Linked DNA regions of Elephas maximus indicus. The protein of the gene in region 2 binds, or shares a complex with, the protein of the main gene of each other region. Links are inferred from orthologs where the notes say so. Each region holds a gene or a part of one and is shown on either strand. Other genes may lie near its edges.

The links.
Region 1: INTS7 (region 2) and INTS6 share a complex: the UniProt entries of both Homo sapiens proteins name them as parts of the integrator complex. The link is inferred for Elephas maximus indicus from reciprocal best matches to the Homo sapiens genes INTS7 and INTS6.
Region 3: INTS7 (region 2) and INTS9 share a complex: the UniProt entries of both Homo sapiens proteins name them as parts of the integrator complex. The link is inferred for Elephas maximus indicus from reciprocal best matches to the Homo sapiens genes INTS7 and INTS9.
Region 4: INTS7 (region 2) and INTS12 share a complex: the UniProt entries of both Homo sapiens proteins name them as parts of the integrator complex. The link is inferred for Elephas maximus indicus from reciprocal best matches to the Homo sapiens genes INTS7 and INTS12.

What each region holds. Positions count from the first base shown.
Region 1 is NC_064832.1:26,247,046-26,254,123, reverse strand, and holds the start of INTS6 (integrator complex subunit 6), read right to left. Parts: upstream 3,017-7,078; 5' UTR 2,503-3,016; coding exon 2,392-2,502; exon of another isoform or gene 2,257-2,391; intron 2,212-2,256; exon of another isoform or gene 2,142-2,211; intron 1,966-2,141; coding exon 1,888-1,965; intron 1,068-1,887; coding exon 918-1,067; intron 1-917. UniProt on the Homo sapiens protein: Component of the integrator complex, a multiprotein complex that terminates RNA polymerase II (Pol II) transcription in the promoter-proximal region of genes.
Region 2 is NC_064842.1:638,386-645,618, forward strand, and holds the start of INTS7 (integrator complex subunit 7), read right to left. Parts: upstream 3,012-7,233; 5' UTR 2,860-3,011; coding exon 2,766-2,859; intron 1-2,765. Other genes in the region: DTL (denticleless protein homolog), read left to right, coding at 3,311-3,362. UniProt on the Homo sapiens protein: Component of the integrator complex, a multiprotein complex that terminates RNA polymerase II (Pol II) transcription in the promoter-proximal region of genes.
Region 3 is NC_064840.1:43,557,964-43,565,984, reverse strand, and holds the start of INTS9 (integrator complex subunit 9), read right to left. Parts: upstream 3,020-8,021; 5' UTR 2,876-3,019; coding exon 2,867-2,875; intron 1-2,866. UniProt on the Homo sapiens protein: Component of the integrator complex, a multiprotein complex that terminates RNA polymerase II (Pol II) transcription in the promoter-proximal region of genes.
Region 4 is NC_064823.1:46,026,115-46,033,234, reverse strand, and holds the start of INTS12 (integrator complex subunit 12), read right to left. Parts: upstream 3,020-7,120; 5' UTR 2,864-3,019; coding exon 2,846-2,863; intron 149-2,845; coding exon 1-148. UniProt on the Homo sapiens protein: Component of the integrator complex, a multiprotein complex that terminates RNA polymerase II (Pol II) transcription in the promoter-proximal region of genes.

The DNA.
Region 1 (7,078 bases), on a different chromosome or scaffold from region 2:
TGGGAAAAGAAAAAATGTACATCTAAGTATACCATGGTGGTGACAGTGCTCTTCACTACGACACAGGAAACTCACTGGGTTTAACAGCCCTTTGTTATGTGTCACATTACATATTCTTCAGTATCTTTTATTTTCCAGGCCAGTGATCTCGTTAAAAAGTTATAATGGACCACCTTGCATTATTCCACAGTGAACCACCATGTGATTTAAAGCTGCATGGAAGTCTTGTCTCATCCTTAAACAGACGAGCTGCAGGTGCAATAGAGGGCTTTAGGGGTTAAGAGTGGGTTCTTTCATTATTTTCCAGACAGCCTCTTTTCCAAGGGTTTATAATAAAAAAAAAAAAATCTCCTTCAATAGTTGCTAATTGTGTATGCTTGAAAAACTGAGAAATCTTAATGTACTCAACCAGGTATTGCACCCCAATGAAAATCTGAGCTTTCAGAATAGTTAAACAATATGGTTAAATTACACCCTGATGCAACACAGAGAACAGTTTCCTAATATTTGTCCTGACTGATACAGAAATGGGGACCACTGACCAGCTGGTGTCTGTAGGCCACTGCAGTGGCTGCACATTCGCCTGCAGCGGTTCGTTACTGAGTATGGTGAGGCAGGAGGTTTCCACTTTAATGTACCAAATGAATTTCAAGGGATTAAAACCACATTCACGACAACTCAATTTTTAGCAAAGGATTCTGGCTCTAATTCTGAATTCAAGTGCGTTTTAAGCAAAAATATGAGGGATACAAAACTATACTGAGTATGTTGAGGGTTTCACATTTGTGTTACGTGCATATATTTTCTTTTAATCTGAAATGTTTCATACTTATATTTTACATATAGGTTTAGGACTGGAATGTGTTTTTCCACAAAAAGAAAAATCAGCTATTTTTCCACCTTAATATTCAACCTACCTGCCCATAGTTGTCTATGCCAGTTACTAATCTATTTAAATTTAATAAATCAAAAGCTGTCCTTAGGGATTGGCCAAGAGTCGTAAGTCCTTCAGCCTGAAGGTTTTTCAGTTCATTCATAAACGTTGCATGGTTTTCTTTCCATCCAGCCTGAAAAGAAAAATGTAAGAATTTTTTTTTTCATCTTTCAAAGCCATGCACACACGGGCAGCCGTTATAATCTGATGCTCGCCAAGTAGCTGCTTCACTTTACAGTACAACATGGTTAACTTGTTTGTTGTGTGTCACTGCTGAGGAAACTCCCCTCCAAAGCTCGCCAGAATAAACCTTCTTGCTCTATAGCTTCTGGTCATTACCAGCTGCCACACTTCACAACTTTACTGGGGAGCTGACTCTCTCACACCCCAAATTTCAGGATGTGAAGGCAGCAGCGCAGAGCAGAGGAAACTGGACTTCTGAAGTCAGCCTACAGCTGTCCCACTAGCCTGTGGCCCTCTCAGGAGCCATCCAGAGCCCCAGCGCCGCAGACCCCCGCTCCCCCACGCCCCAGCCCGAGCCCCGGGCGAGCCGGCGCGGCCGAGCCCCGGGCCGAGCCCCCTTTCATGCGGACGGGGCTGCGCCGCCGGCCCGGCTGTCACTCCGGCTAACTTGAATAAATATCCCCCACAGTTCATTGCTGCCGCTCACGCCGCGGAGGGGAAATGTCGGCCATGTTGATCGCAGCGCCGCCGCCGCCGCCGCCGCCGCGGGCCGGGCCCGGGAGGGGACGGCGATGGCCTGGCGACTCCGCGCCGCGCCGGGACGATCCAGAGCGGGGGAGGGGGTGGGAGCCCTCAGGGGAAGAAGCCTCGGGGCCGGGAGAGCGGCGGGTGGGGGAGGGGAGCATAATGAAGGGTGGACGGGGGGCGGGGAGGGCGAGCGAGGAAGGAACCGGGAAGGGAAGGGAAGGGGGGAGGGCGAGGGCTGTTACCTTGATAGCATAGGGCGGCTCTTCGAAAGTGACCAGCATGTACCTGTCTCCTCTGCTGGCGGGATCCCGGGCACGGAGCTGCGGAGAGCGGACGGGGGACGGGGAGAGGAACAGGGCGGGCGAGAGGGAAGCACAGAGGCGAGGTTACGGGCGGAGAAGGGGCGTCGAGCGGCCCCGCCGCCCCCCCACAGTACCGCACACGCAGCGGCCACCCCTCCACGTCGCCCCCCACACACAGATCGGTCCCCACACACCGCCCGGGGCCGCAACCGGGTCCGGGGCCGCAGCCGGCTCCCGGGCCGAGCCCGGCTCGCAGCGCCCGCCCGCCGCCCGCCGCCCGCCGCCCGCCCGCCCGCGCGGTGGGGGAGGGGGTCCCCGAGGCCGGCAGCTCCCGCAGTCAGGTCCCCGACACCTCCGCCTCGCCGCCCCCAGCCGCCCTCCCCCACCCCTGCCGCCCGCGGACCGCCGGGCCGGGGTCGCCGCCCGGGCTCGGTCAGTCGGTACCTTCATGAAGGTCTCTACCGCGCCTTTGGCCGTGTCCAGGTAGGTGGTGCCCAGATGGCTGCGCTGGTTCATAGAGGCAGACGTGTCTATCAGGAACAGTAAGATGGGCATAGTGCTGGCCGGGGACACCGGGGCCCGAGGTGGTGGAGGAAGACGGTAGGTGTCGGCGCCGGTGGCGGCGACCGCCGCTACGCGGGGCGGGGAGCGCGGCCCCCGGGAGGAAAACACCGTCTGGGTCTTTCCTCCGGCTGCGGGGAGTTTCTCCCCCGATAGTTAAGAGGAAACTCCCCAGACCCAGTCCTCCCCGTCGTACCCCCGCCTCCGCCTCCTCCTGCCTGCCTGCCCGCTGGGCCGGGCTCCCGGCCGTCTGTTTGTCGGTCCGTCCCCCCTACCTCGGGGGTCCCGTCCCCGCTCCCGGCCCCTGTGTGTGTCCCAGCGGGAGACGGGCCTGGCTCCCCACCCCACCCCCGGTGCAGGGAGTGGGGACCTGGGAGCTGGCGAAGGGGGGAGTGGGCTGAGGGGAGATTGGCCCTGGGGCTGTTGGGAGAAGTTTCAGGGACTCCCTCTGCACCCCAGCGGTGTCACCACTTTCTCGGCCCCTCTCGCTACTGAAGCGCTTTTCTCTCTCACACTCCGGTTTTAACTCGGGCAGGGGCTGCAGAGGCTCCGCCCCCTGACACGTCCCCGAGCCACGTGATGCACCGCCCCGCTGTTTTATTGGCTAGCCCCTAACCTTTCATTAGCATATTTAAACAGCTCAGGGGCGGGGGAAGTTCCTAGGCCGGCTCTGGGGACAGTTATTGAGCACGCGCGGAGGCGGGGCGTCGGGTACGCGCGCGAGGGGCGAGCAGGCGGGCGGGCCGACGCGGAGGCGGGCTCCGGGAAGGGGCGGGGACGGACCGCGGAAGGGCCGCGAGGTGGGGGAGGGGGCCGCGTCGGCGCGCGCAGGGCCGCCGCGCTCTTGCGCGTCAGGGCGCCGGCCTGCCCTTGGCTCTTGGAGGTGTTAGGGGTCGGGGAAAGGGAGATGCAGGCTGGCTTCAGCTGCCCTCCGAGGTCGTTGTAGTGAACCCCTTCCCCGGGGGGCGAGTGAGGAGAGGATGAGTAAAGTGCCCGGACACCCGATGAGCACAAGCGTCGGACCCGCGGTCGCCCCCCCGAGGTGGCTCGGGTCCGCGGTCGCCGGAGGAGGTTCCTTGGACCGGGAGGGCCGGCCCCAGCGCGGGCGGGTCCGGAGCGGGGGAGGGGAAGTGAGAGGTTGTTTATGACCAGGGACTGATCTCCGCGAGTCACACCGCTCCCGCTGGGGAGTGGGGACGAGGGCCCGAACCTCGCGCGGAGCCTCCCTCGGCCTGGGGAGCGACCGAGGGCGAGGGCTGGAGCCGGGGCAGGCCGGGCTCCGTCTTGTTGAGGACCCCTCAGAAGGGCAACAAACCCTCTCTCCTAACCCAACCCCGAAAAACCCTGGGAGAAGATTCCGATTTCCGTAGTTCCCCTTTTTACTCGGGAGAAGAATAACTGGGCCTACCCCCAGAATTACATTGCACAAGCCGCGTTTACGTTGGGCCGTAGAATAAATAGCAAAATCTGCATATCAGAATTGAAAAGGACCCCAACGACCGTAATGCATTACCAATATTTTACACGTGAAAAAATTGCCTTTGGCTTGCCGGGATAACACAAAATGGGTTCCCATAACCCTGCTAGTGCTCTTTCAATATGGTGCCCTCTCACGCTTGACCCAAATACCGTAGAGGGAAGAAGTTCTAACGCGAGTCTCTCTCATCCTACCTGAGGTAATGAAGCTTCTCCTAAATGTCCGAGGGATAGTGTCCTCCAAGACACGAGTTGAAACACTGAAGACACTGTCTTAAATGCAAGTTGGATTGGGGACATAGGACCTTCTAAAATGTAGCTATTAATCGGGCCTTTCCTACTAGCCTTGCATTGCCTGAATTTTTTAATTCTATTCCGAAATTCTTATTTGCTTACTGCTCATTTAGAGAAATTGTTGATATTGTTAACCACAGAAGAGATGCTATGTGGCACTTTTAAAAAAATTAAGTTTTATAAATTGGGCTTTTCCTAATCTTTACGACAGCTTCAGAAATCTGTTCATTTATGTTAGAGCTTTTTCAGTAATAATGCTGCTCTGTGATTATGTACCATGGAAGAGGTGTCATATTTTTGAGATTTGAACTGTGAAATAGGAAGAAGATGGAATACAGGCCCTATAGCCAATATTTGCTGAGGACCTACCTTGTACTAGGTGTGCTGGAGATAAAAAGTTAATCAAGTTTGATCCTAGTATAAACTCGATGCCTTCGAGTCTATTCTGACTCAATGTGACCTTATGGTCTTAGTATGGAGAAGATAAGAAATAAATAAAATATGGTCCCTGCCTTCACAGAGTTTATGGTTTTCTAGAAAAAGATGACATACATAAGGCATAAAGTGACTAGATACTAAGTAATTCAGAGAAAAGAAATATATATTGTGGTGATGAAAGAACATTTCCTAGGGTCAGTATGTTTAAGGTGCAACATAAAGAAGTATTTCTGAAACTGGAATCCTAGACCCAGAGATAAGAATTATGTTCTATGATACTTTCAAATTTTTGTTTTCATTTTTTATGACAATATATAAATTACGCGGCCAGTTATAAAGACAATTTTTCTTTCAGAATGATGGACATATTCAGAGTATAGGTCTGTAGTTTCTATTATCAGTGTTTTCAAAGTCTGCAGATCCCTCCCTGCCTGTCTCAAATTGTATCCTCATAAGAGAGGCTTGGTGGTGCAGTGGTTAAGAGCTTGTCTGCTATCCAAAATGTCCGGGATTTATAATCCACCAGCCACTCCTTGGAAACCCTATGAGGCAGTTCTGCTCTGTCTTATGGGTCACTATGAGCTGGAATTGACATGATGGCAACGGGTTTAGTTTGTATTTTTGTTATTTTTTTATAGGATCATAAGAATTTACATTGCATTAATACATTATTCAAGAAGCCCTGGCAGCACAATGGTTAAAGCACTCAATTGCTAACCAAAAAATGGGATATTGGAACCTACCAGCTACTTTGTGGGAGAAAAGACCTACCTGTAAAGATTTCAGCCTGGGAAGCCATGTGGGGGCAGTTACAATATTCAGTATTTTGTATATAGGTTTGAGAAACACTGCTTTAAGGGATCGGTAGGATTTGGGATATATGAGTAGAGGAAGGGGAAGCTGCTGGTAAAAAAAAAAAAAGAAAACCCTTCCAGACATTGAAACCATAGGAAAGAAAGGAAGGCAGGACAGCATTGCTGATGGCTTCGTGGGGACAGTGACGTTTAGCCAGGCTGGAGCACCAGACACAAGAAGAATAGCACAAGATTCAGAAAGGTTGGTCAGGACTAGACAATAAGAGCCTTTATTCCAGACTACGGGATTTTTTTTCTTATAAATGAGAGTTTTTAGTTATAGTGCTAAGTACAAAGCAGTGTTTGAAAGCAACCAAACTGTTATTAGCTGCCGCAGAGTCCGCCACTCATTCACGGCAACCTCACGTGTTAAGAGTAGAACTGCTCCGTAGAGTGTCCTTGGCTGTAAGACCTAACAGCAACAAAATCTCAGAAGCAGATAGGCAGGTCTTTTCTTATGCGAAGGTGCTGGGTAGGTTCAAACTGCCAACTCTTAGGTTACTAGCCAATCTCAAACCACTTGTGCCACCCCAGCTCCTTTGAAATACATTAGCATATATAATTAACTATATTATATAGTTATTTGAAATCATTTTCCAACTGAGCCATCATGGCTCTTTCTTCCCTGACTCAGTAGGGTTGGCTGATTGTCATACTGATCAGGGTCAGATGCAAAGACCAGGAAGCCAAGCCCAGTGAGCCCAACCTGGAGTATATAACCAGAACCTATGTTACAATGAAGCCTGAGATCAAAGGTAGATTTCCAGTCAGAACCTAAGAAGTAATAGAAGGCACAGAACAGGAAAGAAATCAGGGCAAATATATGCTGCAAATGAAGAGGCAATCAGAAACAAGGAAACATTGACAACCTCTCTAGACAAAATTGTGAAATAGCCAAGTTTATTCTTAGTGCTCACTGGTTGACAGGCTATTGGTTGATTATGGCAGAAAGTTGTGTTTTTTTGGTCATGAGATGCACATCATTATCACCCAAAGAGCTTTAAAAAAAAATGTACCAGATCCTCATCCCTGAGGAAAGCGATTCAGTAGAATTTGGGTAAACCCTGGTCATCCTACTTTTAAAGAGCTCTTCAGGTCAATCTTATAAAGAATACTGATTGAAAACTACATGCTTAAAATATAAGAATAATTACGTGCCTGGCATCTAGTAGACACTCAATAAATAACTGAAAAACTCACACACCCTTAAATTTGTTGCCTTTATTAAAAGAACTCCTAAAATAAACAAGTCTGGAAGCTAAAGGAAAGAAATTATAAATGTTTCATATGCTTATTTAAATTACTTGAATTCAACTATATTTGTTTGGCAAAAAATAAAAAGAGAAAAAGAATTTAAACAGTGCCAGAGATTCCCACCATCTCCTCTCCTTAGGCCCTGGAGTGAGCACAAGATGAGAGCCACGAATCTCTTTTTCACTCAGTCTCTGTGATTCTGGAAATATAAAAATACAGAATTTTTCTAAAATGTGACCACTAAGCGCAAGCCA
Region 2 (7,233 bases):
TCTTAGAATACTAATTTCAGCCTGTGAATACCAACTCTTAGAAATGCTTAATAATTCCCTTTGTAAGTCACAAGATATAGCACTCAGTCATATGTAAAAATGAGTCTACTGATCTTCATTTGTTAACTGCTGATCAAATAAGATGTGTGTGTGTGCACGTGTGTTAGAGAGAGAGAGAGACAGGGATTTTTAAATACTTCATAAACAGTATTCCTCGGACTACATTCTGGAAAACAAAAAGTTGGAACTTGTAGCCTTCTGACTATGACCTTTGGCTCACAAAACATAAAACATTGTTAATAGGTAAAAAACGAAATGATTCAATATTTAAAATACTATATAGTCTAATGAAACTATTTCTGCAGTTTAATTTTCTAACAGCTTTCAAAGGTACAGCATGGTGAGGTGAAAAAGAACAAGAGTTTTGTACTTATCTTGGACAAGTTATCTTTCTGAGTCTGAGATTCATCTGTACAATACTCCCCAGGGCACTGCTGGGAGAACTGAACATAAACACTAAGGATCGAGGGCTGACATCTGGTTTCCAGCTGAACAGTCAGTAGCCATCCACTTATTCCTTACTGACCTAAAGTATTCCTATTTCAACTGTTCTTTAAGAGAAAATTTAGTTGTTATTTCTACCACAACTGCAAATTTTCAGAAATTAAATAATTCTAGATTTCTCATTTCTTCAGTGCCCCATCCTGATCCCGGCTGTACAAACACTGTCCTGCTGTCAGCATGGGACAAGGCCAGCTGTGTATCAGACAGCACAAGACCCACAACTCACACTGGGGAATAAGGGAGAAAAGCCTATCAGGATGGAGAGGGAAAGACTGTGTAGTGTTTAAAAAACATGTTTAATATTACAATTTAATATTTCAGGGGAAAGACTTATAGCTTTGGTAATCGAAAGCAAAGCTAAACATTTTCTTGGCTAGAGAAGATGGATAAAGATACTGAGACTCAAGCAAAGGAACAGTCCATTGGGGCGTTGTGACGTTTTTATATTGATAAAAAGGAGGTAAATGCCAAAAGAGAAAAAAAGTGTGAGAAACTCTTATCTAGTCAACCTACTAAAAATGTTTACAGGTTAAAGAACAAGCAAAACAAGAAAAGAAAATCAAAAAAGGAGTTCCAAAGAAGTTAATAGACATGTCCAAGTCGGCTCAGAGGGGACTTACAGGCAGATCCTTCTGACTCACGGTCCAATTCTCAGTACATTACACACTGGCTGCGGATAATCAAGAATTAACTGTATCAGCTGCAAAATATGCTTTTCCTACACAATAAAAATTCCTCAAGTGCAGTGGAACAAGTTTCTCATTAGTACCTGCACCCCCTTCCCACGCCGATAAACCGAGGCTAGGTGAAGTAAGGTACCTGTCCGTGACGATGAAGCCTGCAGCACTGAACTTGAACTCAGGGCACCCAAAGCTCCTCCTTCCACCCTAGGAAGCCCGCCCCCGCCCGGTCGCCTAGGAAACGGCTCGGGGAGCCCGTTTGCGGGGACGGGGGAGACCAAGCCTTCCCGAGTTTAAGCTGCGTGGCATCCCGCACGCAGCAAGGAGTTACGGAGACCCACTCAATCTTCACAGCGCTGGCGCAAGATTATTCTTCGGCACCCTTCATGAAAACCTGGGCTCAACTGAACATATCAAAAAATAATTTCACCTTAGCATTTTTAGAAACGAGCCATTTTCAGTGCTTGGAAAACCAGGGGATCGTCCCCTCAAGTGGCCAAAATGCCCATGACGAGAGCTCGCCGGTAAGACAGCCAGCTATGCGGTCAAGGCCAACAGGGCGACCCTGCAGCCTTCCTCTGGTTCCCACCAGCCGCCGAAGCCCTCGGCCACCCCGGCCCGCTCCCGCCGCCTCTCCCGAGGCTCCCGCCACCTGGGGGCGCCACTTCCCTCTCACGCGCTCCCGCCGCCTCTCCCGAGGCTCCCGCCACCTGGGGGCGCCACTTCCCTCTCACGCGCTCCCGCCGCCTCTCCCGAGGCTCCCGCCACCTGGGGGCGCCACTTCCCTCTCACGCGCTCCCGCCGCCTCTCCCGAGGCTCCCGCCACCTGGGGGCGCCACTTCCCTCTCACGCGCTCCCGCCGCCTCTCCCGAGGCTCCCGCCACCTGGGGGCGCCACTTCCCTCTCACGCGCTCCCGCCGCCTCTCCCGAGGCTCCCGCCACCTGGGGGCGCCACTTCCCTCTCACGCGCTCCCGCCGCCTCTCCCGAGGCTCCCGCCACCTGGGGGCGCCACTTCCCTCTCACGCGCTCCCGCCGCCTCTCCCGAGGCTCCCGCCACCTGGGGGCGCCACTGCCCTCTCACGCGCTCCCGCCGCCTCTCCCGAGGCTCCCGCCACCTGGGGGCGCCACTTCCCTCTCACGCGCTCCCGCCGCCTCTCCCGAGGCTCCCGCCACCTGGGGGCGCCACTGCCCTCTCACGCGCTCCCGCCGCCTCTCCCGAGGCTCCCGCCACCTGGGGGCGCCACTTCCCTCTCACGCGCTCCCGCCGCCTCTCCCGAGGCTCCCGCCACCTGGGGGCGCCACTTCCCTCTCACGCGCTCCCGCCGCCTCTCCCGAGGCTCCCGCCACCTGGGGGCGCCACTGCCCTCTCACGCGCTCCCGCCGCCTCTCCCGAGGCTCCCGCCACCTGGGGGCGCCACTGCCCTCTCACGCGCTCCCGCCGCCTCTCCCGAGGCTCCCGCCACCTGGGGGCGCCACTTCCCTCTCATGCGTTCAGCCGGCTCCCCCTCTCCTTCCCATACCTTTGTCCAGTTCCATAAGGGCGGAGTTCGCATCTAGCTCCTGTTCGCCATAGCCGGCATCTGCCAGGAAAGACTTAGTTGAGTTTGACGCCATGACCTGAATAGTTACTTGACTAGCCTATTCAGAAAGGCCGCAAACCCTGCCCCAACCCCGCCATCTTCCTTCACCGCCTTCTCGCGGATTTTCCCTCCGCGCGCTGGCAAGCCGTGTTACGCATGCGCCCTGGCCATCCCCCGGTTCGCCAGCGCCTCTTCGACCCCCCGCGCAGGCGCTCAAGGGGCTCTTGAATTCTGGGTTCCCGCGGACCGGCGAAGAGGAGGCGGGGCTCCGGAGGGGGAAGTGACTCTGCGGCGCCATGACGCCACGGCGGGAGCCAATCAGAGAGCGTGACGTCAGTTTGGCGCGGAGTTTGGTGGCTGGAGCCTGCAGTGGCGGGAGTGGAAGGCAGCGCCTGGTCTTGTTCTTGGGGTGCAGGCTGCGGTTTCTGCGGGACCTAGGGCATTTCAGAGCCTTTTCTTCAACTGCGCGTCTTCCTCTGGCCCAGATGCTCTTCAGTTTGGTGCTCCGCCAGCCCCAGCTTGGCGTCCCGAGAAATGGTGAGTAACGGTCCTAACCGCCGCTCGTGGCTGGGGGTCACCTCCCCGAAACACGACACCCGGGCCCGGCGAGTGTCCCGCGGCGCCAGCAGAGCCTTCGCGCGGGCTGCTGAGGAAAGGTGCTTTCAGCGCCTCGGGGCGGGCCGGAGGGGCGGGGAGCTAACTGACTGACCCCCGGGGCGCTTTACGGCCTCGCGCCTGTGGCGCGCGTTAACTGAGGTGCTGGCGTTGGACAACGTGCGCGGCGCCCCCCACAGCTGTGTGCAGCGTTAACTGAGGTGCTGGCGTTGGACAACGTGCGCGGCGCCCCCCACAGCTGTGTGCAGCGTTAACTGAGGTGCTGGCGTTGGACAACGTGCGCGGCGCCCCCCACAGCTGTGTGCAGCGTTAACTGAGGTGCTGGCGTTGGACAACGTGCGCGGCGCCCCCCACAGCTGTGTGCAGCGTTAACTGAGGTGCTGGCGTTGGACAACGTGCGCGGCGCCCCCCACAGCTGTGTGCAGCGTTAACTGAGGTGCTGGCGTTGGACAACGTGCGCGGCGCGTGTGCGTTAACTCATCCATTGGTCCTAGAACCGATGTCTAGATGATCCACGAATGAGTGGGACGCGCTGCTAAGGAACTTGCTCAAGCAGAAAAGTTAGACCATGTGCTTCTAGAAGGTCAAAAGTTGTCTTTTTTTTTTTTTTTCCTGATTATTACATGTTCATAAAAACTCGAAATTATAGAATGAAAGATCTCCGTAATCAGAACATCCCCCAGAGAGGACCACTGTTGATGGTTGAAGTATAGTATTTTGGGTGTTTTTTTATGCCAGTGGTAATATGTATTGTTATTTACGGAAATGAGATAAAAATGTTTTGTTTTTCATTTTAACGGTATAACTTGGATGTCTTTCCATATTATGTAGAAATCCAACTTATTCTCTACAGCTCTTTCGATTCCTTATAAAACATTGTCAGCAAGAGTTTTGAACTTGGAGTTCGGTGTCTAAAACTTTCTGTATGAAACTTAAACTGATAAGGGAGTTGCTACCTAGGCTAGACTTAGACAAATTAAATGTCACATATTTTAATGTTGACTACACTGGAAGGTCTTCCTTCCCCTTGAAACTCTGTGGAAAACGAAAAGGAAAGAACCTGAGAAGGGAACTTTCTGTATTTAAGAGGAAGGTCTAGGAAAAGGATGTTGGGAGGGAGACTGAGGAGCAGCCCCTCAGCTTCCCGCTACCAGTCTAACACTACATACCATCCCTACTAACTTCCCTCTTAAATATTTTTTTTTGGCTGTTTTCTAAATTCCCTGCTTACTATCTCTCCTAGGACCTTACATGAGAAATTTCTCTGACCTCTGTGTCACGATCGGTAGGTAGGGCAGCACAGTGATGAAGAGCTCTGTCTTTGGAGTTAGACTGAGTTTTAATTCCAGCTCCTCTCCTTGCTATCTGTGTGACCTGAGGCAAGCCCCTCTATCTTGCCACAAATATTCTCCTAATTCTCCAGTCTATCTGTCTACTTCTTCCTCTCCCTTTCTTTCTCCAATTCACAAGAATTCATTCATTGCTACCTGTTAACCACCAGTTGCTGGCTGAATGGTCGATTCTGCCTCATGGCAACCCCATGTGTGTCAGAATAGAACTGTGCTCCATAGGGTTTTAACGGCTGCTTTTTTGAAAGTAGATCGCCAGGCCTTTTTTCAAAAGCACCTCTGGGTGGGCTCGAACCACCAGCCTTTTGATTAGCAGCCAAGCGCGTTAACTGCACCACCCAGGGACTCCTGCTATACGTTAAACACTGAAATTTACAGGACTGTCTTGTTTTCCTTACCCCTTCAGTGTTAGTGTTCCATCCTTGGCTCGTTTTCTTCTTCCACTTACTCTATTAGATGCTCAGTGTCATAACCAGGGCCTCTTCCACTGCTACAGTTTCCCTCCCCTATGCTTTAGACCCATTCCTATAAAAGCTGTGTGGACATCTTCACCCAGATATTTGGTTCCATGATCATCTCAAACTCAGATGCCCAAAACTGAACTGTTTTCCCCAAAACCTGCTGTATTACCTAATTTAGGGATTGGGCTCATTATTTTAAACCAGTCTTCCTAGCCAGAAACTTTGAAATCATCCAAGACTCCTCTATCTTTACTATATACATTCAAAAAGATTCTGTGAAGCCTCTGGACTCTGTCCTGTCTTCTCTATCACCATCGATTCTGCCTCTTCGCTCCATCTTAGACCTGTTCTTTCCTTACCACGGTATTTCCCTGAGTTGGGCCCTAATACCGTCTTATCTGGACTCTTACGTCTCCCAAGTGGCCTTTTAGTTTCCCCCCTCCAGTTTATTCTCCAGATTGCTGCCAGAAATATTTTCAAGAATGGAAATCTGATCACTCCTGTGCATTTTTAAATTGGTATCAAAATTTTTTATCTTAAGTTTAAACAGATACAAAAAATATAAATTTTGATATTGTGAATACTGACATTTAAAATTAAAATGTTATATCCCTTTTTAAATGTATCTGTTGTTGTTAGGAGCCTTTAAGTCGGTTCTGACCTGTAACGACCCTATGAACAACAGGGGACTGCCTGTAGAATGCATTCATACATTACTTATGTAATTAAAAACAAGTTCTAAGAGACAGAATGCAGAAATAACACACATACTTTTAAAAAACAATATCATAAGCAATGATAGAGGAAATTTTGCCTGAGGCATTTTGGGGGAACACTACTGTTCTACTAAAGGCCCCCATCCTACTCAGGGGGTTCAGGGAAGAGGTCCTGAAAGACAGGGAATCAGATGGGGGAACCAGTCCAGGTAAAACGTCACTTCTGTGAAGATCCCTGTAATACACCCATCAAGGAGTAATTTTCAAAAAAGTTAAAAACAGGGTTCTTAATGCAAAATATAGGAGACACATGTCAAGAATTTTATTCTATTCATCAGTTTACCAAGGAACCCGTAAGCTAGAAAGACTTACGAGGAAGGGGATTTATGTAGTCACGTAGCCAAAGGAGTACTGAAATGCATGTGCTTATAGAGAATTTAATTCAAGAGTGTTTTCTTTAAGTTGTGTGCTTTTACTGAACTGGTCTTTAAGTGCATGTACAGGTAAGCCCTGGCTGCCTCTGCATCTCAGCCAACTCCCAGGGAGACCAGAAGCCTTCAGACATTTAAAGTTGGGGGACTCAAGAGGCCACAATGGCTGACCACTCAAAATAAAACAAAATAAAAAAGCAAGTGTCTTAGTCATCTTGTGCCGCCATAACAAATATGACAAGTGGATGGCTTTAACAAAGAGAGATTTATTTCCTCACAGTTTAGTAGGTTACAAGTCCAAATCAGGGCATTGGCTCCAGGGGCTTTCTCTCTCTATTGGCTCTGCAGGAAGGTCCTTGTCTTCAATCCTCCCCTGATCGAGGAGCTTCTCAGGCGCAGGGAGCCCGTGTCCAAAGGATGTCCTCTGCTCCTGGTGCTGCTTTCTTGGTGGCATGAGGTCCCCAGCTTTGTGCTTGCTTCCCTTTCCTTTTATCTCTTGAGAGATAAAAGGTGGTACAGGCCCCACCCCAGGGAAACTCCCTTTACCTTGGATCAGGAAGGTGACCTGAGTAAGGGTGGTGTTATAATCCCACGCTAATCCTCTCAACATAAAATTACAATCAAAAAATGGAGGACAACCACACAGTACTGGGAGTCATGGCCTAGCCCAGTTGACACACATGTTTTTGGGGGACGTGTTTCAATCCATGACAGCCAGTACTGAGGTGTGTTCTGTGTTAGTTGCTGGGGAGTCGGCTCTGACTCTCGTACCAACCCTACGCGTAACAGAATGAAACGCTGCCCGATCCAGCACCATCCTCACAATCGCCGTTATG
Region 3 (8,021 bases), on a different chromosome or scaffold from region 2:
GATCATCTCAATTGACACATAAAAGGCATTTGATAAAATCCAACAGCCATTCCTGATAAAAACTCTCAATAAAATAGAAATAGAAGGGAAATTCCTCAACATAATAAAGGGAATTTATACAAAATCAACAACCCACATTATTCTCAACAGGGAGAATCTGAAAGCATTCCCCTTGAGAATGGGAACCAGTAAAGGGTATCCTTTATCACCACTCTTATTCAACACTGTATTGGAAGTCCTAGCAATAAAGTGAGAAAACGAAATAAACCTCCAAATCAGTAAGGGATAAGTAAAACTATCCCTATTGGCAGATAATATGATCCTATACAGGAAACCCTGGTAGCATAAGTGGTTAAGAGCTACGGCTGCTAACCAAAAGGTGGGCAGTTCGAATCCACCAGGCACTCCATGGAAACGATATGGGGCAGTTCTACTTTGTCCGATAGGGTCGCTATGAGTCGGAATTGACTCGACTGCAACAGGTTTGATTTTTGGTTTTATGATCCTATACATAGAAAATCCTAAAGATTTCACAAGAAAGCTACTGGAACTAATAGAAAGATTCAGCAAAGTGGTAGGATAAAAGACCAACATACAAAAATCAGTTAGATTCCTCTACATCAACAAAGAGAACTTTGAAAACGAAATCAGGAAAACAATACCATTTATAATAACCCCCGCCAAAAGATAAAATACTTACGAATAAATCTAACCAGGGACATAAAGACATCTACAAAGAAAACTACAAAACACTACTGCAAGAAAACAAAAGAGACCTACATAAATGGAAAAATACACCATGCCTCTTGGATAGGAAGAGTAAACGTTGTGAAAATGTCAATGCTACACAAAGCGATATACAGATATAATGCAATCCTGATCCAATTCCCAACAGCATTCTTCAGTGAGATGGAAAAACTAATCACTAGCTTTATACAGAATGGAAAGAGACCCTGAATAATAAAGCTTTTCAAAAGAAGAACAAAGTGGGAGATCTCACATTACCTAATTTCAGAACCTACTATACAGCTATGGTAGTTGAAACAGCCTGGTGCTGGGACAACAACATAGACCAATGGAACAGAATTGAGAACGGAGAAGTAAATTCATCCACCTATAGACAGCTCATCTTCGACAAAAGACCAAAGGTTATTGAATGGGAAACAGACGGTCTCTTCAACAAATGGTACTGGCAAAACTGGATATGTATCTGTAGAAAAATGAAACAGGATCCATACCTCACACCATACAGTGAGTAAAATAAGTCAATCGTAAAAAGACAAATATTGTTTGATACTGATTTTATAAAGAAGAAAAGGCTTACACACAGAAAAAAGGAAAGGAAAAGGAAGGAAGGAAGGATGAAAGGGAGGAGGGGAGGGAAGGAGGGAAGGAGGGAGGAAGGAAGGAAGGTAGGTTCTTTTATGGTTACCAGGGATGGTAGAGGGAGGGAGGAAAAATTACCAAAGAGGTAGTAGATGGAAAGATATAGTAGGAACGACTTAACACTGGTGAAGGGAAAAGCAATATATAATATGGGAAAACTCAGCAGAACGTGACCAAAGCAAAAGGGGACACTGAGATGAGCGTGCGAATAAAGGGCAACTACCATAACTACTATAGTATAGACAGTCCTGCAACAATAGTATTAACAATAATTTACATAAACAGCTTTAAATGGAGACAGTTTTGGAGTTGAATCTACTTTTAATACCTTCTCTGACTTCCACCCTGCAAACAGTTGCCACTTTGCAGAGCGTATGCCTGTAGCATGATTATCAAATGGGTGCTATGTACTTTCGAAAAGCATACTCAAATAGTTATATAAAAGGAAAAACAAACCATTTGTTTTTGTATAGAAATTACAGAAAGTAAAGCTTGACAAAGGAGCCCTGACGGCACAGTGGTTAAGTGCTCCGTTGCTAACAGAAAGAATCAGCAGTTTGAACCCACCAGCTGCTCTGCGGGAAAAAGATGTGGCAGTTTGCTTCCATAAAGATTACAGCCTTGGAAACCCTATGAGGCAGTTCTACTCTGTCCTATAGAGTTGCTATGAGTCAGAATCGACTTGATGGCAATGGATGAAGCTTGACAACTTGGTTGCAGGATTTTAAGATTGAGAAGCAGTGTTTCACAGCTACCTTCCTATTCTAATTGTGCTATTACTAATTCAATAGGGTTGGAATTAACTCACAATAAAAGTAAAGAGTGAAAATAAAGATCTGAGAAGCTACTGGAGCTCTGTGATTCAAGGATTTCTCTAGGTATACTAGCATTTTCCACCTAACCTTTGTTCATGCAATCTCTACAGCCCTAGACCGGAATGTCTTGACACTTCCTCTCTGCCCATCCAAATCCTATACAGGGTTTAAAACTCAAATCCTGCAAGATCACACGCTGATTTCCTTCTCTGAATTCAAAGGGCAATTATAATTAAACTATAACAGGAAACTTAATAAGTGATTACGTTCTGCCTAGTATCTTCTACTCGCTTCAGCAGGGAGAAGAGCTAAACATGTATCAACCAGTGTGCCTATTATAATACTCACGTGGAAGCTCAGAAGTCATAGGTGACTATGCTCCAATCCTAGCTCACAGGTGAAGAAATGAGACAGTCAACCTCTTATCTGACCTGACAATGAGTGAAAAAGTTCTCCGTGCTGTTTTAAGGGGCATGGTGGAGTGGATAAGGGTGAGGATTCCGACCTACTCGACTACAAAAAGCAGATTTCCCTAGTCTACCCCATATTCCTGTTCCGAAAAAGCCATCCCTCCTCCGCGACGGTTCCTTTCGCAAGGTGGAAACCACGAAGTCCAAAAGGATATGGTATCACCTTTGCCCTCTGACCTAGGAGTGGAAACTCACCAGTTTCATATTGGACTTCAGGCTGTTCAACAGCAATCACTCGACTCCTCAGACCCAGAATGCGTCTTCCGGTTCAATCTCCGCCACCAACCTGCACAGAGCATTACGGGACAGGCCGTCTCCCACCATCCCACGCCCCAGGAATCATGGGAAATGTAGTCATCCCTAGATGCATCATGGGAACTGTGGTCATATTTTCTTTTTTTCCCTGAACTCCTTCTTCCGTCATCCTCGCCGTCTCTTCATCCTCCCTCTTCACCCCATCATGATATCTTGTCCCCCATATGGGCCTGGGACACATAGTTTTCTGGGAGGTGTAGTCCCGGTGGGTCTGGATTCCCCTTTCTCCTCCTCCCTGTGGGCCGGCTAATGGATGCGGGACTTGCCGGGAGCTGTAGTTCTCCGAGGTGTCTAGATGCGGAGTCCCAAGCTTTTACTCAAGGGAGGCAGGAACTACAACTCCCAGGGCTGCCCGGCGGCAGCAGGTGGGAGCGGGGCTGTTGATATCAATATGGCGGTTGTCAGCCAGACAAAGACAGTCAGTCTGATGTGATTGAGGCAAGGGAGGTTTTCACGGGGAGACTGGGAGATACCGGCCTCCCCTCCTCCCTTTCCTCTTCCTGTGCGGGCCTCAAACCCTCCCCAGCCCCCACCCGCCGGGCTCCCCACGCGGAAGACACCCCTCCCCCTCCCGCTTTCTCCTTCCTATCTCAGCTTTTCGTACTGGGACGTTGGGGAGGGGGCTGTGCCGGGCGGAGAGAACTCAGCGAGGATTCTGAGGTGAGTCGAGCAGTTTGAAACCGGACTACTTCAAGTCTCTTCCCTCACTTGTTTCTCTTTACTTTTAAAATTTTCCCCCAGAGGCTTTGGGGAGAAAGTGAGTGGGATGGGGAAGGGTCTCTTAAGCGGCCGGTTTGAGAGGAGGGAGAAAGCAGGGGCTTCCGAGTAATTGACCTGGACGCAGGATATGGGGTGGGGCAGTTTATAGGGTGCATTAATTGAAAGGCGTCGGCTTCTCCCCAACTCTTTTTTCCTTGTTACCGCCACGGTGGGCGGAAGGTTTGAATCCGGGAGTTGGGGGGGGGGTCTTCTGTTTGGAGTTTGGGAAACTGACGTGATTTTGAGGTGTGTTGGTTTGTATTACTGTGGTTTAAACTGTGTTACGGGTACTTGTGTGATATATTTGTATTGCATAAATGTCTAAAGATAAGAAGTTAGATAGCTAGAAACATAGCTTTTAACGGGGCCTGGGCTGAGTAGCGTGTGTGAGGTCCTGCTCCTGGACGTTTGGCTGACGACGTGGTGCTGGGTAGCTGGGGTTAGCAACTCGTTTGTGTAGGATTGCCCGCTCACACTCCTCTTCCCCGTCTCCGCCCCCTCCTCTGGACGCATCTCCACCCCAAACTCCCGGCAGGAGAATTGTAGAGATGATGTGGTTTGGAGATGGATTTTTGCATACTTAAGTCAGTAGCTAGGTGGGAAAGGAAAAGTGTTCTTAATATTTTATTCCGGAACCGTGTTTTGGTTACACTCTTGGGGCTACTTTGAAAGGAGTCCTCCACCCACCCTCACCCCGAAACAGTAGGTAGAGGTGTCTCGCCGCCTTCGTGTTAAATATATTAATAATTAAGATTTTGGGGCGTGGGGTGGGCATACGGAGTGCTGAATTGTGTATGTGTCTGTGCGTGTCTACTGAAGATACAGAATGATTGTTGTGTATCTTGAGATAGGGCGACTTATTTTCGTGGCAGGAAAAGCTATTGGAAATTATTTGGGGGGCAGCTGAAAGGCGCTGCTTGTATTTTTCTTCTACCCCACCCTATTCTGCCTCGCATTTGCCTGAAAGCTGGTGTGGAAGAGTGAGTGAAGGAAAGAATGCAGTTGGCCTTGAAGATACCGTACTATGTGAAGTTGAATGATATGAAGTAATTGCTGTTTTTATTTACCTTAAAATAGCTTTAAAACCCTCATGTATCACATAGGGTAGAGTGATGTGACCAGTTTATTTCCATGGAATCCTGCAGGTGTAGAAACTCCTTCCTTTCTTCCCTGGCATTTGGATGGACATAATGCCTCCTGAGCCTTTTTATTTAGTTTGTGCCAATATGGTTGTGCTTTTTTGTTGTTTATACTGTAAGAGGCATCACTAGATGAAAAGATTTTGCATTTGTTTTTATTTTGCATTTATGCCACAGGTAATTGCCACGTAAGGATTGCAGTGCTTTGCGTTAAACTTATTTTTAAATTGAGCAACTAAGTTGTTAGATGTAGTTGAATTATGTTTATAAATCAAGTTTGGAAATTTTGAATTCTGAAAAATTTGAATTCTGATTTTTTGTTAGTTTCGTTTAGAGCTGTGAAGGGAAGAGGATTGCAACATCTCTTGTTTCTCAGTCTTTTATATTCAATAACACTACAAAAGGAGAATTTAAGAGCGTTTATTTTGTATTTCCATTTGAAATAGAAGTTCTTTAGTATGCCTTCTTATGTGACTATTTTTTAGTGTAATGGGCTTTTCAATAACCAAAGGAATTGTAATAATTTCTATTTAGACTGTTGAGAATTTAATACATTTACATATGACCCCAAACTTACTGATTCTTAAAACTGCCACCTATCATAAGAGACCCTAGATTCTATAAAAACTGAACTCCACACAGATACAGTATGTAATTTTATGGGATGTTTTATAACCTTTGATTTGAAATTTCTGCAGTTGGTCATTCATGCAGTTAAGCTGATGGACCTGACAAAAAAAATTGATATTTTTTAAATCTCGAATTTATAGTATATGTTGATGCAAAGCTGAGACTTTAGTTTGGTATAGATAGGATTTCCAGAATTATCTGTTTTAACCTTGGATCTTAATGTGAAACATTACTTTGCAAAAACTGAAGAGAAATCCTATATAACTGTATAATAGAGTGTTTTTTTTTTTGTTGTTTTTTCTTTGCTCGAAGATATTCTGGTAGTCATAGAGTTTTAAAATGTTTAATAATTATTTTAGAAAAATACCTCAAATGCTTGTTAAGAGTCAGAAAAATATAAGAATGTTTTCTCTTCCACCTACCGTTAGCTTAGCAATTTTTTGTTGGATTTATTCTTTTTGTTTTTATTCTTTGGAAATGCAAAGTTACGGGAAAAACTTTCATGAAACTTATTCTCACTAGTACTCTGGTTGACATCATTAAATGCAAACTAGATATATTCCTTGCATTCGCTGGAGTGATTCCATTGCATTTTAAGCACTGGGCATTAAGATGATATAAAGCTTTTACTGCAGGTTAAAGCTTAAAACATTCTCAGCATGTGGAAGTCATATGGTTTACAAAAGTAGAAAATCAGGGCATTGGTGCCTGACCAGCTTAAAATTTCATCCCATAACTGTGAAAGACACATTTTATTTTCACGTGATCACTTCTAAAAATGTTGCCTATATTATGGGGAATTGAAAATCCGAACTGTTTTTAACCCAATCTGTTGCTACGTTAGTGTACCGCATGTATTTATGCAACTATTTCTGGTTGCAAATGTGCATCAAAAAGCTGTTAGGGTAAGTTTTATGTTGAATGTCTTCATTAAGGAGTCATTTTCACTGCTGCAGAAACAAATTTCAGTCTTCTATTATTAGCCTACATCACTAATACAAACTTAATAGCACAGTATTGGTAGGTTATAAAATATATTGCAATAAATCTTGCATTGTTTCATAGTGTTTGGCAAGTTTTGATTGGAATGAAATTGTTTATTTCAGTAGTTTTTTAATACATCGGAATAAACCAAAAAAAAAGAAAAAACAAAAAAACCCCAAAACCCACTGCTGTTGAGTCGATTCCAACTCATAGTGACCCTATAGGACAGAGTAGAACTGCCCTACAGAGTTTCCAGGGAGCGCCTGGTAGATTGGAACTGCCGACCTCTTAGTTAGCAACCGTAGTACTTAATCCCTATGCCACCAGGGTTTCCATACATCGGAATACTCATGCTTAACTTGTCATTTTGAGTATTCCTTATTTTAGTTCATCCTACTTTTAATATTTCAGAGAGCTAGCATTTCCCATAAAAGCATGTTTGCTTTTTCTGTTTATTTCATTGCAGCTTTTGCTTCTATTATTTTTGTAAGCAGATCTATAAACTTGAATTTTTTCTCTTGGGAATTAAAAATTTATCCTTGGATGTCATTTTTCAAAAATTCATTTGTCAGTATACCAACCAGTTTTCAAAAATGTGAAAATTTATATAGAAATTTAAAAGTGCTGAGTGAAAATGTATTGGTTTTCTGTGCGTTTTGTGAACCTGTTTTACTTTTTTTGGCTTTCAAAATTAATTTTGTAGCTCACCTTGCTTTTGTTTGACTAGGTTTTTGTTAGCTGTTGGCTTTTGGAAACCCTGATGGCTTAGTGGTTAAGAGCTACCGCTGATAACCGAAAGGTCGGCATTTGGAATGCACCAGGCACTCCTTGGAAACCTTATGGGGCAGTTGTACTCTCTCTGACAGGGTCACTTGTCGGAATCGACTTCGACGGCAATGGTTTTGGTTTTTTTGGCTTTTACGTCTCACTTTAGTAGAGCTTTGATTTATAAAAAAATTGTTATAAGTGGAAAGTACAGCTTGTCTAGAGTGTCTCGTGTACACTCATGCATGCACACACACATATATAAAACACCTTTATGTTTACATATGAAGTTGGTATACATCGATCAGACATGCAGCTGGTAAAAAAGAATCCGAACCACAAACGGCAGGAGACTGAACAGTTGCTCAAGCTAGAAACCGAAGGCTAACCACCCACATGCTGTCCACATTATAGAAACTATGGAGATTTTCAGTATCATTCTCAATGCCAAAATAATGGAAGCAAAATATGTTATTTCAAAATAGAGGCTACTGGTATTGAGATTTTTTTCTTAAAATAGTATCTTAAGTGATATGTGACTTAAGAGTCCTAAGTAAATACAACTGGCCCTTGTTGGACTTGTTCACTTCTATGTGTCAGGCCCTAATTTAAGGCAGCGCTATGTACAACAGGATCAGGCCATTGGGATCCACAGGATTTTCACTGGCAGATTTTTAGAAGTAGATCACCAGGCCTTTCTTCCTAGTCTCTCAGTCTGGAAGCTCTGTGGCAGTCTGTTTAACATCATAGCAACATAC
Region 4 (7,120 bases), on a different chromosome or scaffold from region 2:
AACTTGAATCAATGCCCCGAGCCAAGGATTCATCAAGGAGTGCTTTTAGCTTTTCAGCAGAATCCTTACTCTTTGAATGTAAGAAGCCTAGGGCTTTCAAAAAAATTGGATCAAGTTCCAAATTCACAGCAGCAGCCATTGCAAACACCTGCAAAGGGGTAGGGGGAGAGAAAAGGGAAGTAATTTAAAGACAATGCTCAATTACCTATGTCAATATTTTATTTGGTTCTTTTGTTTATAATAGGTAATACTGCATCCGGTACAAAATTCAAAAGAACCCAAAGGTTATTACAGATAAAAGTAGGTTTTCTTCTTCTTCCTGACAGGCATTATTTAGTTCTTTTCCCCTGAAACAACCAGCGTTTTCAGTTTATATCCATGGTGAAATTTTAAATCCAGGTTAGTTCCTCCTTGCCACAAAGGTCCCTTCCTATCTCTGCTTTAAAAGATACACTTCAGTTTCAGTATACATGAACTTGATGTGTTTAGGTCAAGTTTACTATGTATTAAAATTTCTTCTCCCAAATCTTATTTCCATGACAAAAGCAAAGATTTATTGTGTGAATGTGGGGGAGGCAGTGTCACCGCAGGGCAATGGTCAGAGGATGCCTTAAGTTCTGAGCTACAGAGACCACTGCTGCAGCATTTACCTAAATTACCTTTTTAACTTTTTTTTTCTGCCTCCCTAATACTCAGCCCCAATCTTAAATGTCTCAGAAAACATACTAATGATAGCCTTATTTGATCACATTTAGATTGTAGTATTTCATGCATTAACCTGTTTTAAAAAACTAGGTCTTTAGAGGATGGTGCCATGTCTATTAAAAAAAAGTATATACACCCCACAGGGCCTATGATAATGCCCTGTGTCCTAAGGAGCCTAAAGAATAGCCAAGGCAGATGAAGATATACAACAAAGGCTTAGGAAATTCCGAAACATTAAAAAGTTTTGTTTTCAGTTAATACCAATGCTATCATGTGGTTCTACTTCTGGCTGTCATTTTTTCAAACACCTCCCCAGGCAAGGAATTATTAAAATCAAAATGTATTCTTTGTGTTCCACCCTTTGATCAATATACCAGGATTTGAAATCCGTCTTGTATCCTTGAGGTTAATATTATAATAATGCAACACACTTGCACTGCTACAGCTGAGGATCTGTCAGCAATTCCACAGTAATCTCCCATTTTCAGGGGTTTATAAAGCCATTAAAACTTCCTCTAGGTTGAATCTTGGCATAGGAAAGCTCAGCCTGAAAATGGATTTTATTTGTTCCTTCCCCCACTTACTTCCCCCTTCATCTGTCTCCAAGTTTGACAGGAAACACAACACACACAAATACACACTCTCCTAAGCTTCTTTTATTTTATTTTTCAAGTTTCAGTGATGGTATTTGATACCCTACTGCCCCCAAATTGCCCCTGAATCACCCATGAAAAGGAGTTCAAAGGCCGCTACTAGAAAGAAAATAACCTTATCTCAAACAGTTGTATTAGAAAGAGTTTAAAAAAAAATTGAAAAGCAAACTCTGTCACTTCTTAAGATTGTATTATTATGCATACTATCTATATATATGATAGACACAGAAAACTTATTTTTAAATTTACTCATAAGGCTGGTCACCAAACATGTTCTGAGAAGAAAACAGCTCCTCGATAAAATTTCCATGATTAAAAAGGGTAAACCTGCCAATCCTCCGGTGTGTAACAGGGGACAGAGCCTGGTCTTTCTACTGACTTACTTTATATAGCTGAAAGGGACAGTAGTTTACTTATTCACAACAACCTCTCTCATGAAGTACTGACCAAAAGGTTGGTACCTAGAAGAATCCTGGTATACACTAGAACAACCATTACTCGAAATTTCTATGCTAAAAAAACTAAAGCAAAAGATTTATTGTTAGGCTTTTCTACAGTCACAGATAAAAGCTTTATGGTACAGTGTAGGTGTCTAGAGTCATGCACCTAGATTACAAGTCTACAGAAGTCACGCATTACTACCAACATTCCAACTGGAACCTCGGTGTTAGTTCTTTTTATGCAATCCTGGAGTTAGAAAACTGGCCGTGTACCCCATCCTAAACCAATAACATATCCCGCTAGCCTAATGGTCTCCACAGTGGCATACAGGGAGAAAATATTAGAACTTTTATCTATATTTAATTTTTTATTCAAAAAAATTAATATACAAAGTGGTAGTAGTAAATGTAAATATATAAATATGGAAGAGTGCTCACATTTTTTACATGGAGTAAGTTATGAGAAAGGTTTGGTAGTCACTACTCTAGCCTATCTAGCAACTTACAGTTTCACTTTCTCTATTATACATAATGGCTGCTTTAAGGTACAAACTACCTTCCCCTTGCAAGTCCCTCCAATACTCATTCTGTACAACCCTTCATCCTCCTCTCCACACTAATGTCATTGCTAGCTACCCATCAGCTTCTAGCCCTTGCACTATTCCTAACATAGTCCCTTACATTTTCTACTTTTTCCTCAAGCACTCCTTTACTATCCCCCCACGATGACACCACCTCCCTTGCAACCTTCTCCAATAGTTTCTTTGACTTGTTTCTTCTCACAAGAGAAAAAAGAGGTCTACAGAGTCTTTATATTGCTGCTTTCAGAAAAATATTCCATGACCACCATTTAGCAACATCTTCTCTTAAAATCTACGCTTGTATAGAACATTTGCACCAGGCTCCTCTTCCTCTTCCATCATCTTCGACAATTTTAGCATCCATAGTGATCAGCCTCTTCAACTTGTACCTGCACCCACCTTTTCCTCTTCCCTACTTGATAAAAAAGAGAAGGTCCCTCCTCCCCACCTCTCCATGTAATGTCACCTTTGTTCTGGATCCCATCTCTTCATGCCCTCTTTGTAACCTTGAGATATGGATTATTTACTCCATCTTCGTTTCAGTCTCTTTCAACTGGCATCTTTTCACTGACATTTACTGAATAAAGAGATGAAAGTATAATGTTCTTGTCACACTGTTAACACAAATCTAACCATTTCCAACACCTCTCCAGCAAAATGGAACAAAAAATGCAACCTAAACCCAAACCCCCTCCAAACAATAAAAAAAAAAAAAAAAAACCAAGCATCAAAACAAATCAATACCTCTTTCATTACTGAGGATTTGTACAATGTTCCTGACAGCAAAACTCTTGTTCCCATCCTTCACCTGGTCTAAATTCATTAATCCTGCTAGACTATAAGCTCTGTGAGGGCAGGTACTTGTTTAGTTCAGTTAGCAGCATCCCTAGTGCTTGGAGCTTCACAGGTGCTCAAAAATATTTATTAAACAAATGAATTAAGTTTTTACATAAACGTCACTTTTTTTTTTTTTAGGGCTTCTGTGATTTCTCCAATCAAAACTAGGTATCCATGCATAAATATAAAATGTACATATATGCTTTTCCTCTAGATCCTGTTTCTCAGCCTACCTGCCTCATCCCAAAAGAAGTTCCAAAGTTGCTTTCTGAATGTGCACCAGATGAAGGAAACTGAACCTATTCATGCCGAGTGCAGTATTATGGTTGCCATCTCAAAACAGCACTAGAAGCCTTTGCCATTCATGTCTTTGCCATCTCTTGCAACCTTTTTCAAAAACATCCTTCAAAAGATGCTATGTTTTTCATTCCTCCACTGAGTTCTCAGTCCTGGGTCACAATGATACCTAAGGGTCACATCTGGAAAAGCAGGGCAGGCGGTAAGGCCCTGATTCCAAACCTACCAGATGGGACAGGAGCTGGTAAAGCAACAGCAGACACTTAGAAAAGGGATGCCAGTCCTTTGCCCAAAGTATGATACACCAAAGGCCTAGGACGGGGGCAGGTCCTTGACAGGGAGCCAAGAAGAAGAGAGACGAAATGAGGGCGATGTACGGAGGGTCGTCAAAACCTGAGAAAGGTCCGAGATAGGGTTCCAAGGACCTAGTCCTTGGGTTCGAGTCCTCAGTCCGCATGCCCCAGCTCACAACACACTCGGAGAAAGCACAGTCTCCTTGAAAAGGCAGAACGGTGGGCTTGGGGCATGCGACTGCCGGCAAATCACGAGGTTTTCCTTGTCAGGAGGAGGGAAATTAAAAACCCACAGTGCTACTCTCCCACCTCAACCCTCGCGAGGGTCTCGAGCCTCCCACAGGTGGGTGGGAGTGAGGTCGGTCGTCACAACTCACCGTTCCGCCCAGCAGCTCCGTCCGTTCCTGGTAGCTCCTTCGGAACCGGTCCCGGCGCCAGCCGACTCTGAGAGCCGGAAAAGAAAGTTCCTGCAGCAGGGCCGAGGGGGGGACGTTTTGACGGTGCGACAGCAGGAAGTGACGCACCCATTCTTCCGGTCCGCTGGATTATGAATGACGGCTAACGCCGGTATTGCCCAGACGCGTGGCCTGCTGTTTCTTTCTGGGCCCTTGTGGAAGCTAGTGGTTCGCGGGAGGCGGCTCCCAGAAGCGGCCTCCGAATCTCGGCTGGGGCGGGACGGGAAGGCGCAGGCAGCCCGCGTCGCCGGCACGCTCACGCACCCTCCCTGCCTGGCCGCCTCTGCGACCAGGTAAAGAGGGCGCTCGGGCCACCGGCTCCCCAGCCCCCGCGACCCTTCAATGACTGCTCTTGGCGTCGGGGGTCGACAGGGCTGAGGATGCGTGGGAAGGGCGGGAAGGGTGAGGGCGTGGAATCAGTGTCCCGATTTTTCTCCAGCCCCACGGCCGTCTTGGCGTCTTTAGACACGGGTCCTGGGTGTACGGGCGGAGGGCTTCGGGCCCCTTCTCAGTTTTAGGCATTTCCAAGTTTTCCCTGGTCCCATGGTTTCTGCTGGTGGGGAAAAGGAGCAGCTTCCAATTGTAGAAGCTGTATGAGGTCTCTGAGCGTTTGCTTTTAAGTGTAGTTTCAAGGCTTTTGAGATCACGCTTTAACTTTTTCTCTTTGACACTTGGTTTTCCATTTCAGCCCTTCCTGATTGGAGAAAGCAGTGGTATGTGAATACTACTTAACCGTTGCTCCAAAGGACTTGCCTCATTTTGGGCCATTTGCTTATGTTACACCGTCAAAACGGTGTTCTTCTTCTTTTTTTTAACTAAGATAGAAAGCTTGGTTTTAACTTGCGTGAACTTAAAAAAAAATTTTTTTAGCATCAAAGTACAAATATTTCCCATCTCAATTTTCTACCTAGTTTTGGAATTAGGTGACTTTTTTTTTCCCCCTTTATTCTTAATGCTAGGATCCGTTAATGCCATGATCCCTTAGTGCCATGATCCCATCCCTTGTTCTTGAATACCAAGGGATTGCCAGCATTTAATAATATATCTTGGGTTAAATTATTAATAAAGAGAGTAGTGTTCTAATTTTTTTTCCTAAGGTTTTCAATAGAAACTGTTGACAGGAGAAAATGCAAAAGCTGGCAAGAACTAGATACATGACAGTTTAAAACGTGAACATCATTTAAATATTGTGAAAATAAATTCTTTGTTAAAACACAATAACTGAGTGCTTTGCTGTCATATTTAATAAATCAAGCATTAAGCTGTGAGGTTTTTTTTTTGCTTTTTAAACTTTGATGGGGTACATACACTAAGTATTGCTTTTAGCATACTTGTTACTTCCAATTGTGTTGAGTTATACTCAAAAGTATCACTTTAAGATGTCTAACTTCAAAAATAAGTTAAAATATCAAGATTTGAGAGTTGTTTGATCATTGCTTTTGTTTTCTTTACACTTCTACTCCATGTAGTGTTCCCATTAAGTTTTTACTTGGTAGCTTTTGCATCTTCACCTGCAGTTTGAAATAAGTATAAATCCTGTGTATCCAGTTGGCCTTCCTAACAGCAAAGATTTAACAGACCTTGACACTAACAAATTATGGGGCTAGGCAACGGAAATGTTTGTGGTATATAAAAAAGAAAAAAAAAAAAAAAACCCAGTGCCTTGTATATATTGTGGTATATAGTTCCCTGCATATATGTTGTTTTTTATCCTCAAGCATTCGAAGCAGCCTAATGAATTCTGTTATGATTAACACTTGGAATGCAGGGATTTAAAGCTTTTAGATCAAAACAGGCACCAGTATTGCTTGTTGTGGGAATTTAGTAATTTTATTTCAGTCCTGCTGATGCTTCAAACATGTTAGCATTCACAGTGTGGATCTCTTAGTTATGAGGTCGGGCTGAGTGGCAAGCATTATGATACCATGGTAACATGATCCCCTGATTCTCCAGTGAGAAGCTGACACACTTCCCTTATGGCTAAGGTTACTGTAAGCTTTTTACTTTTAAACTTTTTTCTTTAATACTTCTTTTCCACATGAGAAAACATCTAATTTAATCATAGGATTTTGTTCTTGAGGACTTAACTGTCCTCACGTTACATAATGTAATGAGCTCTGAAGAAACTCATTTTTTTTTCCTTTTTCAACTTTTAATGTTTAAAGTAATTTGCTGCTACGTATATCTCTAGGGACAAGGTTTTGTTTTTTTTTTTCAATCTGTATTGTAAGAATGAATGGGATTCTGCAACCAAATAATTAGTGTCATTTTGTGGAATGTATAAAACACAGGTTAAGTTCTTACATTGATAATGCTGAGAGCTTGATATAGGAGGGAATTTAAACCAGTTTAAATTTAAATTTTAATCTGTAGGAAAAATTAACTTATAAAATCTTTATACTTGTAAACTGTGTCAAACTATTTATTTTGTATAATAAAAAAGTATGTGCAGACTAAGGGTTTCACTTTTATATTCTACCATTTGTGACTCCCTGGGTTTTAACCTGAGAACACTTCCCGCCCCCCCCCATATTTGAAAAATGACCCTCTTAGTTCAACATGAATCCTTACCTCTCCTGGGAAGAAGTTTGGAAATATAAAAAGCATAGTTTGGGTTTTGTCCATCAAAAGTTTTTTTTTTTTTTTAATAGTGTTAATGGATTAGGAATTTGGGGATAAATAAATAATAATAGTGATGGAGTTTTCTACTCTGTCACATGGGGTCACTATGATTCGAAAATTGAGTAGATGGCACAACAACTATAACAATAATGAATACTTACTAAGGGCTTCCTATGTCACAGATACTGTTCTCACAAGGCACTGTATGGTAGATAGTGTTATACTCATTTTATATAC